Linked DNA regions of Oryctolagus cuniculus. The protein of the gene in region 1 binds, or shares a complex with, the protein of each later gene. Links are inferred from orthologs where the notes say so. Each region holds a gene or a part of one and is shown in the gene's direction. Other genes may lie near its edges.

What was found.
Region 2: NUP153 (region 1) and CETN2 share a complex: the UniProt entries of both Homo sapiens proteins name them as parts of the nuclear pore complex. The link is inferred for Oryctolagus cuniculus from reciprocal best matches to the Homo sapiens genes NUP153 and CETN2.
Region 3: NUP153 (region 1) and NUP160 share a complex: the UniProt entries of both Homo sapiens proteins name them as parts of the nuclear pore complex. The link is inferred for Oryctolagus cuniculus from reciprocal best matches to the Homo sapiens genes NUP153 and NUP160.

Annotation. Positions count from the first base shown.
Region 1 is NC_091436.1:144,878,177-144,881,825, reverse strand, and holds part of NUP153 (nuclear pore complex protein Nup153), read left to right. Parts: intron 1-1,855; coding exon 1,856-1,984; intron 1,985-3,649. UniProt on the Homo sapiens protein: Component of the nuclear pore complex (NPC), a complex required for the trafficking across the nuclear envelope. Functions as a scaffolding element in the nuclear phase of the NPC essential for normal nucleocytoplasmic transport of proteins and mRNAs.
Region 2 is NC_091453.1:131,267,296-131,271,028, reverse strand, and holds the start of CETN2 (centrin-2), read left to right. Parts: upstream 1-831; 5' UTR 832-1,046; coding exon 1,047-1,052; exon of another isoform or gene 1,053-1,409; intron 1,410-1,504; coding exon 1,505-1,663; intron 1,664-1,973; coding exon 1,974-2,102; intron 2,103-2,762; coding exon 2,763-2,900; intron 2,901-3,340; coding exon 3,341-3,430; 3' UTR 3,431-3,733. UniProt on the Homo sapiens protein: Plays a fundamental role in microtubule organizing center structure and function. Required for centriole duplication and correct spindle formation. Has a role in regulating cytokinesis and genome stability via cooperation with CALM1 and CCP110.
Region 3 is NC_091432.1:18,169,518-18,173,266, forward strand, and holds the start of NUP160 (nuclear pore complex protein Nup160), read left to right. Parts: upstream 1-1,410; 5' UTR 1,411-1,671; coding exon 1,672-1,771; intron 1,772-2,033; coding exon 2,034-2,145; intron 2,146-3,749. UniProt on the Homo sapiens protein: Functions as a component of the nuclear pore complex (NPC). Involved in poly(A)+ RNA transport.

The DNA of each region.
Region 1 (3,649 bases):
TAAAAGCAAGTAAGTTTTAGCAATAAAGAGGATAGACTATTATAAAGTGATTAAACATGTTTTCTTTATTGACACAATTGTAGGAACAGTGGTTTTTATTTTGGGGAGCATAGTTGTATTGATGAAACATATATTACATAACTTTTGTTTATTAATTTATTTAAATATTTATTGCTTTATTTATTTTGAAAATCAGAATTAGATCTTCCATCTGCTGGTTCTCTTCCCAAATGGCCAAAACAGCTGGGCCAGATAGAAGCCAAAAGCTTCATCTGGGTCTTCCAAGTGGGTGGTAGAGGCCCAGACACTGGGGCCATCTACTATTCCTTTTCCCAGGCCATTAGCAGGGAGCTGGATTGGAAGTATAGTATCTGGGATACATACCAGTGCCTGTGTGTTATGCCAGCCTTGGCAGGCAGCAGCTAAACCCTCTGTGCCACAGCACTAGCCCCTATTTTACTTTATTATTAACATTTGTTTATTTATTTATAAGACATCTTTAATCTACTGGTTTATCCCCCAAATGGCTGCAATGGCTGTTGCAGGGCCAGGCCAAAACTAGGAGCTTGGAGCTTCCTCTGGATTGCCCCACGTGGGTGTCAGAGGCCCAGTTACTTTGCCAATCTTTGGTTTCTTTCCCAAGTGAATTATCAGGGAGCCGGATCAGAAGTGTAGCAGCCAGGATGTCTGGACTGGAAGTGGAACAGTGCAGCCGGGACTTGAACCAGTGTCTGTATGGGGTGCCAGCACCGCAGGCAGCTACCTCTATGCCATGATGCCAACCCCCTTTTATTGCGTGCTCCTGTCTGCTGATTCACTCCCCAAATGGGACAGCAGGGAGTAGGTGTGGGCAGAGCCAGGAGACTGGAACTAAATCCACATCTCCCATGGGGTCTCAGGAACCCAGTTACTTGAGCTGTCACTACAGTCTCTCAGGATCAAATTAGCAGGAAACTGGAGCCAGCAGACAGAACTGAGTATCAAACCGAGGTGCTCTAATGTGAGATATGGGCATTTTAACCCAAAACCCCAGATCGCTTACGTTACATACAAAGATACGCTTGTTTTGGAAAGTATGAAAAATAAAAGCTATAATGAGCACTCATTTTACCATTGGTAGCCACCATTAATCTTTAGATACGAATATTCTTAATCCTCTGCACTTATTCTAACCTCCTTTTACCCATAACTATGCTTTTTTTTTTTTAATATTTATTTATTGGAAAGAGTTGCAGAGAGAGAGAGAGAGGGGTCTTCCATCAGCTGGTTCACTCCCCAGTTGGCCTCAACAGCCAGAGCTGTGTTGATCTGAAGCCGGGAGCCAGGAGTTTGTTCCAGGTCTCCCACGGGGGTGCAAGGGCCAAAGGCTTGGGCCATCTTCTACTGCTTTCCCAGGCCATACAGAGAGCTGGATTGGAAGTGGAGCAGCTAAGACTCAAACCGGGCACCCTTACGGGATGCTGGCACTGAAGGCAGCAGCTTATCCTGCTATCCCACTGTGCTGTCCCCCATAAACTATGCTTTTAAGATTATTTTGTGACTACCTAGCATTTCATTATGTTACTATTGTGATTCTTGTAACTACTAGGCCCTTATTTTTAACCATTTTATCACATAGGTGTTTAATATTATAATTGAAAGATATTTTAAATTGTATAAATTTCTAGAAATGAAATAATTGGCTCAGTTGGAAATTACTTATCAGGTTTTTTTTATCAGTATGTTCAGTAAAGTGGCTTTTTTACTAAAGTTTTAGAAATCGATCCAAGAGTTCGCTTTGAAAGTTTTTTCTAAATTAATTCGAGTCCAATGCTTTTTCTTGGCATAATAGCTTTTATAATTAAAATAATTACAGCTCAAGATACCACTGCAGTGACCAGCAGTACAATCTGTATGAAGAGGCAAGGTGAAGATTATGAGGGTCCTTTTAGACCTGCAAAAATTATGAAAGAGGGAAGTGTCCTAGATCTTCTGAAAAACCCTGGTAAGATAATGACTGCTCTTGTGATAATCAAAAATCTTATTATACAAACTCAGGACTTCATTTTAATATCACTTGGTGTTGTACTTTATAAAAAAATGCTGACTAATCTGATAGGAGGGGACTTTTCAAAGTAGCTATGTAGATATTAATTCTTTTGTGGGAATTTGTGTGCTATTCAAGGACTTCACTAACATGAGGTCTCTAAGAGGCAAAGGCAGGAGAAAATGAATTATGTGTTATTAGAGCTAGGCCCATGTGAAATAAGCAAATAAGTTTAATGATGTACCTGCACACATGTTCCTCTGATGAAAGCATTCAACTGCCATCTCAAATTATTCTGCAGTTTGGTATATACCAAACAAGGCCACGTTTGATGAATTGTAACATATATGCCCAGAGGAAAGTATTTACCTGAAATGAAGCAAGGCTTGAAAGCTAGTTGGTAGTAGTTTGAAGAAATGAAATATGTTCACAGTTTCAGTTGTGATGTGTAACATAAAAATGTCAAAATGTTCATAGGTAATCTAGTAGTTTAAGAACACTATAGATTTACCCAGCAGATGTCTTTGTTGTAAAATGATTTAAGTATAAGATTTGGCTTTTTTGCATGACTTAGAAGGATAAAGTTTTTGTTCCAGGTGTCATTTTTAATTTGAAAGAATCACACAGAGAGAGAAGGAGAAGCAGAGAGAGTGAGAGGTCTTCTATCCGCTGGTTCACTCCCCAATTGGCCGCAACAGCAGGAGCTGCGCAGATCTGAAGCCGGGAGGCAGGAGCTTCTTCCAGGTCTCCCACGTGAGTGCAGGGGCCCAGGGACTTGGGCCATCTTCTGCTGCTTTCCCAGGCCACAGAAGAGAGCTGGATCGGGAGTGGAGCAGCATGTATATCTAGTGTTGCGTCTGGTGTTGTGGCATAATGATTAAAGCCTCTGCCTGCAATGTTGGCATACCATATGCGCGCCAGTTCAAGTCCCAGCCATTGCACTTCCTATCTAGCTCCTAGCTAATGGCTTGAGAAAAGCATAGGAAGATGGCCCAAGTACTTAGGCCTGTGCCACCCACATGGGAGACCCAAATGAAGCTCCTGGCCGTTGTAGACATCTGGGGAGTGTACCTGATTGAAAAGATATCTCTCTCTCTCTCTCTCTGTAACTCTTTCAAATAAAATAAATCAATCTTTCTTAAAAAAAAAAAAATACTAGGGTTACACTTTGTATTCATAATGTCAAACCCTTGTTTAAGTCTGAAAAATTTGGGAGAGTCTTCATTTGAGTGAAATCAAGACATTCTGAAAAAGTGGGGAGGAAAAGAAATGTGATCTTCCCTTTTTCTTTTCTTTTGGTTATTAAGGTGAGAGACATGGGTCACTGGTGGTGTGTGCAAAATTAAAAGTTAACTGGTCTCAGGGCTGGTGTTGTGACGGTACAGTGAGTGTGACACCAGTATCTCATATGAGTGGTGGTTCGAGTCCCAGCTGCTCTGCTTCCGATTCAGCTTCCTGCATAAAATGCCTGGAAAAGCAGCAGGAGGATAGCCCAAGTGCTTGGGCTCCTGCCACCCACATAGAAGACCCTAATGTAGTTTTTGGGTCCCTGGCTTTGGCTTGGCACAGCCCCAGTTGTTCAGGCATTTGGAAAGTGAATCAGCAGATGGAAGATCTTTTTCT
Region 2 (3,733 bases), on another chromosome or scaffold:
TCAGCTATCCTGTGAGTAAGTACAGTCCCAGCTCCCACACGAAGGTCCTGGGATCTTCCTGATGCCCTTGTTCCTAACTCAGTCTTAGGCCAGACCAGAAAACCACTGCCACTCAGACCGCCCCGCCTAGTCCTTCGCTCGCCCGCCCTGCCCTGTCGCCGATACAAAGCGGCTTCCGAAGCCTACGTGGCGACTCTTACCCTTCGGTCCGTAAATGTCCCCCGGTTGATCTCAGCTAGCCCGCCGCCGACAAGGACCGAGCTCCAGCCTAGGAAGGCCACCCTTTTTTCCCCGCCTGTGTGAGCTGAGAATCAGCCGAGCTCCTTCTACCTAGCGGATTGGCCGGGCCTAGAGTCGGCTCAGCCAGTCGGAGCTCTCAGCGTGATGTTGTCCAATGAGAGCAGGTCTCACCCTCCCAGCGCACCGCCCCCCGCCTGGGCCCGGGCTTTGTGAGGTTAGCCCTACCCACTCCAGACGTAGACCAATGGGGAGCGCTGGAGGTGAGCCGGCAGCCAACAGGGAGCTGGGCCGCGCGCGCGGGGCGGTGGGAATGGCGCCGAGTCGGTGTGTACGTAGGTTGCCGTAACAACGGGCAGCGGAGTGCGTCGGCTATGGTGAGTGCTGGCTCCCCAGTCCGGCCTTGCACCCAGGGACTGAGTCCTTCTCAGGGCTGCGGCCCCGCCACACCACACTGACTCTCTTGCTCACCTTTAGTGCACTGATCCTTCCTTTGAGCTCTTTCCCGGAAGGGTAGACACGCCAGCCACCCCGCTGGGCCTGCGCTTCGCCCTAGCCTCCCCGTCATGCACAGCGGGCCCTTACCCGTCCCTCGGGTCCCCCTGGCTTTCTCTACCCGCCTCGGGGACTTCCTAGGCAAAGAAGAGGGCCCAACCCCTCTCAGATCCTGGCCCTTTCAGATCTTGGCCTCCTCTCTCTGCCAAACTTCCCCCACCTGGGAGGAGCTTTGTTATGTTCTGATTGTTAACTTGTATTTTACAATTTAAATATGGGCATTCCGGAGATGCTTTGAGCATCTTGGGGAGGGCATGAAGGTGCCAAATAGATTGTTTTACTATTTGATATGGACAGAACACTTATCTAAACAACTTAATAATCTTTGGCCAAATCCAGAAGTAATCGGAAAGTCAGAGTACCTCTTGGGAAGCCTAGTACCGCGAGGGGTTGTTTTTGGAGCCAGGATCCCCGCGTTCAGGGAGGGCAGTACTCACTTCGAGTTATCTACAGTCACTTCCTTAGCTAACTGCCTCGGAGTGATGTATCCGAAGAACAAGGGATCTCTTTGCTTCTAACAAATACTACTAAAGAAAAGGGAGGGAGAGCGCTTCACGGGAAGTTTCATTCTTTCCAATAAACCCCATTATCTCTTGTTGAGCAGAAATTGGGAATTGGTTGGTATAAATTAGTTTTAAAAGAGATAGCAGTGTCTGTAACTATGGACTGTATTACATAATAGTGTGCTCATGTGTTCGTATAATTTCTACAGGCCTCTAACTTTAAGAAGGGAAACATAACATCTAGTTCCCAGCGGAAAAGGATGAGTCCTAAGCCTGAGCTTACTGAAGAGCAGAAACAAGAAATCAGGGAAGCTTTTGATCTCTTTGATGCTGATGGAACTGGGACCATAGATGTTAAAGAACTTAAGGTAAGCCCTGCACGTTCTTGCTATACTACCTCTGCTTCTTCCTTACCCTTTCTCTGTCACAACTCTACCCCTTTTGCCCTCTCCTTCCTGTAAAAACTAACAGGGCTGGGATTTTTGTGCTCTCTTTTCCTGTCTTTTATTATGCCAAGTGTTACTAAATAAAATTGACAACAAAGGTCAGTTACATCAATGTTTATTCTGTAGTCATTTTACCATTATTATGGTAGATGTTGGCTTAATATTCTCAACACTTATATTTGCTCCTGCTAGATTCAGATATGCATATTGAGACATTCCTGTTTCCTTACAGGTGGCAATGAGAGCCCTGGGGTTTGAACCCAAGAAAGAAGAAATCAAGAAAATGATAAGTGAAATTGATAAGGAAGGCACTGGAAAAATGAACTTTAGTGACTTTTTGACTGTGATGACTCAGAAAATGGTAAGTTAGCTGAGATAACCATTAGCATGTTTTTTACTCATAGTGATAGATAATGTCTATCTATCTAGAGTAAATGCAAAAATAATTTTAAAATAGTGATAAAGTCTATCTATCTAGTCTAGATGTGAAAATGACCTAATTGGAGAAAAATTGACAAAGATTGGAGAATTCATCTGATAAAAGATAGTATTTTTGACTGAGAATTAGCCTAAATTCTCTTTGGCTTTCTTCAAGGTCACAAACTAATGAAGTCATTTCACCCTTTGTAAAGTAGCAAAAGTGTCATTTTTCACTGTTTTTCCAACTGATATATCTGTGATAAACCCAAATAGAAAAACTGTAGACACCATTCATTTTTAAATGCAAGGTGGAGGGTTAGGGAATGAATCTAAGAAGTTGATTCCCCTGGAAGTCCCTCCTTGGCATTTGAACTAGAGCAAACTCTGAACAGGAGAACACAGCAAAATACCAGGGCTTAGCATGCCAATGTGCAGTGTCAGGTTCACTAGGTGTCTCAGCAGCTGCCTCTAATTCTGTTCTTTGTCTTCTTGGCTTGTATTGTTGTAAATGGGGGGGGGGGGAATGGGCAGTGGTGGGGCTATGGAACACGGGTAACCATGGTGTTTTCCTGATAATGCATTTTATGTTCTACTTGTTAAGTCTGAGAAAGATACCAAAGAAGAAATTCTGAAAGCTTTCAAGCTCTTCGATGATGATGAAACTGGAAAGATATCATTCAAAAATCTGAAACGCGTGGCCAAGGAGTTGGGCGAGAACCTGACAGATGAGGAGCTACAGGTTTGTCATGTGTGAGGCTGGAACGGTGAATTCCCACCGTTGAGCCCTCTGAGACTTCTCTGCTTTTGATTTTTCCCTGGTGGGAAAACCTCTTTGAATGAAAGATACTGTTCTTTGGCCCCTTTGCTAACAACGTAACTTTCCTTTGATAGTCTGACAATCCTATGACCCTGCTTCCAGAAAAATGCATGTGTGTACAGTTTTATTTACTGTTTTAGGTTTTGGGAGTCCTTCTGGTCAAGTCCTTCGAACTTCCTTCCAGGTGACATGTATGACAAAATATGACTTGGTTTTCCAATGACTCTTCAAGAGCCAAGTTATTATAATGTATCGAGTAGACTACAATTGTCTATTCAAATAGCAATGTTAAAGCCTATGATGTAGTCACCTTTTTGTTTATTTTATGAATTAATGTTCTCTGAATCTTTACTGTCATGCAGGAAATGATTGATGAAGCTGATCGAGATGGAGATGGAGAAGTCAATGAGCAAGAGTTCCTGCGCATCATGAAAAAGACCAGCCTTTACTAAGATCCATGTCGTCTTTTCTACTGCAAGCACACCTAACTAGATTTAGTGCCTGCCATTGTGTAAAATCTGGCTTTTGAGAACACAAACTATTTTCTCCTGCACTGACCTCCCTACATAATTTTAGTTATGGCCTCTAATCTATTTCAGACTTTTAAAGTGTTCTTTGATACTCAATCTCTTTGTAAAATGACCTGCTGATTACTTGAGTTCTCCAAAGCAGAATAAGAGCACATTGGAGCGGAGAAAAGGGTCTTAAAGCATTGCCCACCTTCCATTTGCCTTGCATTGCTTCGCTCTTGTCAT
Region 3 (3,749 bases), on another chromosome or scaffold:
CTCTCAATGTTTTATAGAATTTGTAATGAACTTGGTGCCTTTCTTGGTCCTCCAGTCTTCCTTCCATGGGCCTCAGATATGAGTCCAGTGGCAGCAGGGGAGGGAGACAGAATGACCCCTCTACTACAACTGAGTCCTACCCCCCCAAGTCACTGCAGGGGTCCCGCTCCCCTAAAGCAAGATTGTTTCCCAAGGTTCATAACCCTAGTTAGGAGGCATGCCAGCGTGGGTGTCTATTTTTCTGATCACATTCACCTGTGAATTTGGATGTAATCAAAGGTTGCAGTGTGGGGCTGGTGCTGTGGCATCACGGGTAAAGCCGCAGCCTGCAGTGCCTGCATCCCATATAGGGGCCAGTTCAAGTCCTGGCCACTCCACTTCTGATCCAGTTGTCTGCTATGGCCTGGGAAAGCAATGGAAGATGGTCCAAGTCCTTGGGCTCCTGCACCCGCATGGGCGACCCAGAAGAAGCTCCTGGCTGCTGGCTTTAGATCAGCCTAGCTCTGGCCGTTGTGACTATCTGGGGAGTGAACCAGTTGAACAAAAGATCTTTCTCTTTCTCTCTGCCTCTACCTCTCTGTAACTCTTGCCTTTCAAATAAAATAAATAATCTTTTTAAAAAATGTTGAATGTACTGTCATACAATCAAGTCAATAAAGACATCTCTTAAAAAAAAAAAAAGGTTGCAGTGTTTAATGGAGTAGGAGGAAGACAGGAAACACCAAGCAAGTGAGGGAGTGAGAAGGTGGTAGCACAGTGGATTGCAGGTGGATTTGCACTGCTGCAGTCGGTGTCCCAGAGGGTGGAGGGTGAGGCGGAGAGGGAGAGGTGGGGCTGGGTCAGAATAGGATGAATGAAACACAGTGACAGAACAAAACTGCCATCACCGGCAATAGCAAGGTTACAGTAATGTTTAGCAAACGTTGGCTATTATTAAGGAAAATAACCTTTCCCAGTAGAAATTAGCATTTTCCTCAATCCCGAGTACCTCCTACAGCATATCGTAAACATCCACTATGGGCGCTTCACTGCACTGACAGCCAAGAGCAAGCTCAAGGGCGGGACCAAAGGCAAAGTCCTTGCACAGACGCAGCTGAGCAGCATTCAACTGCACACACGATGCTCCTGACCCAAGAACGCCCCATCCACCTTCAGGAAAGGACGCCGACACAAAATGCCCCTGCCCTGCCGCAGCCCATGTGTCGCCTAACGGTGACGCCAGGGAGTCCGGGCAGAATTCTACACACGGAATCCTGACGGCGGGAGAGGCGGCCGCCACCCAGGACCAAACGGCTGGACGTTGCCCTTCGGGGCAGGCCCGGCCCAGCCCCGCCGCCCGCCTGCCCGCCCGCGCCGCTGTTTTTAAAATGGAAACACACCCGGTCCCGCCTCCAGCCGTGAGGACGCCGGGTAAAGGGCGCTGCCCTCCGGAGGGGCCCTAGCTTGGCCTTTTCGAAAGTTCCTGTACACAGGGCCTTCTCTTCTGGGTTCTTCCCTGCCTACTCTCTCTCCCGACCTAAGCCCAGCAACAAAAGCTCACACTCGCCTTTATCCCCCCGGGCTCGCTCCACCTGTCCGCCACGGCCCCACCTTCGCCCCGCCCCCGGAAGTGACGACACCACGCGGCCCTGCCGTTGTCCCGTCGGGCCTCGCGGCGGCGGCGGCGGGAAGATGGCGGCGGCGGGAGCGCTGGAACGCAGCTTCTTGGAGCTGAGCGGAGCCGAGCGGGAGAGGCCGAGGCACTTTCGGGAATTCACAGTCAGCTGCGTTGGTACAGAAGTGGCCGGGGAGGGTGCGGTCCGATCGTTCTCCGCGGTGTCTCCCCTTGGGTCCCTGGGTCTCTGACCCTCCTGTTCATCCTCAGTCCACATGCCCGTGGTCTCTGGATCGGAGAGCTTCCTTGATATCCGACTTCTTCCTTCCTCCCCTTTCTCTTTGTACGGATTGTCAATCGGCCGCCCTCTGCCCGGCGCCCGCTGCCCCTGTCATCCCTAGGGAACCACGTGTGTAGGATGACCGCGTTCATTTTGCAGGGACTGCAAATGTTGTGGCTGGGGCCGCGAAGTACAATGAGAGCGCGGGAGGCTTCTACTATGTGGAAAGCGGCAAACTGTTATCCATCACCAGGAACAGGTTCATTCATTGGTAAGTGCTGCGTTCACCCACCCCTCCCCCTGGAAGTTAGGGTTTTGTGTGGCGGCACCCACCTGTCAGTTCTTGTCGGAATCGGGAAGTTTCTGAGACAGGGAGTTTTCTGTACGATGTACACACACAGGCCCCCAGGTGTCAGTAGAAACAGCGGGAATGTGACTTAGGGAATAAAGCCCAGAAGACCCGTTCCAAACAGGAGCCGATTGTCTTACAGTGCTTTCGTGCCTCCTTCATCCCACCGATAGGTTGGAGGTTCCACATCAGGCGTTGTGCTAGGGGCTGGGCTGAAATGATGAGCAAAAACAATCCCTGCTTTCATCGGCCGGCCGCTGTAACAATGCAGGAATAATGTGGCTCCACCTTTCATGGCACAGTTTTATGAGGGAAAAAGATGTGAAACATAGATGTATGAATACAGACTCTACCTGCCCCAGAGGCATGTGTAGGGGCTGTGAGAGGCTAATGGGGAAACCATCAAGGAAGCCGCAGTTAACCTGAGACCTGAACGACCAAAGGTTAGCCAGGCAAGGAAGGTGTTGGGGGAAAGCAGTCCAGCCTGTAGGGTCCCTGCGTGCAGAGGCCGCGAAGGGGAAGGACGAGCTCGGCAGGTTTGGGGAACTGATTGAAAGTCTGCGGCAGAAGCACAGTGGGCAGAACAGAGTGATGTGAAGGATGCTGAGGCTGGAGCGGTAAGGCAGGGCTCGGACCACAGGGGACCCCCATACACCCAGGTGGTTTTTTTTTTGTTTTAAGATTTATTTATTTGAGGGGCAGAATAATTACAGACAGAGACATCTTCTATCCACTGGTTCTCTCCCCAAATGGCCACAATGGCCAGAGCCAGGGGCCAGGAGCTTCTTCCAGGTCTCCCACGTGGGTGCAGGGGCCCAAGCACCTGGGCCACCTTCAACCGCTTTCCCAGGCCATCAGCAGGGAACTAGATAGGAAGTGGAGCAGCCAGGACTTGAACCCACATTCATATGGGATGCTGCCATGGCAGGTGGATGCTGCCACAGCGCCAGCCCTGACCCTGTTTTTCAGGGTGCTGGATTTTATCTCAAGTACATTGGACTATCATTGAAGAGTTTTAAAGAGTTAATTAAAACCATCAAGACCAGTCTACTTTGTGGAAAGCACATTTGGGTTGGCTGGATATAAGGTGAAAAATCAGTTTACTTTTATGATGACCAAAATGTGGGAGTGGCTAGGAAAAAGGAAATAGGTGGTTTGAAAATATATTTAGAAAGTAGATTGAGTAGGACTTGGTGGTAGACTGAATGTGGGCAGGAAGCGGTAAGGGGAAGGAGAGAGCAAGGATGGTGTCCTGGTTTTGGCTGTGACTAGTCTGGTATGGGGTGGGAGGGTGCCAGTGACTGAGATATAAATGGAAAGGTGTGAGTGATTCTTCTGAACATACTAGATTTGAAGTGCTAGTGCAGCAGCCTTCTGAGGGTGTCAAGAAAGCATTGGCAAGGTATATGTCTGAGTCTCAGAAGAGAGACTTAAGTTAGAGAAATCTCCTTTACTTAAGAAATATTTTCCATGCCTAATATGTTTCAGTTAATGTTTAGGGATTAGGGATATAGCAGGGAACAAAA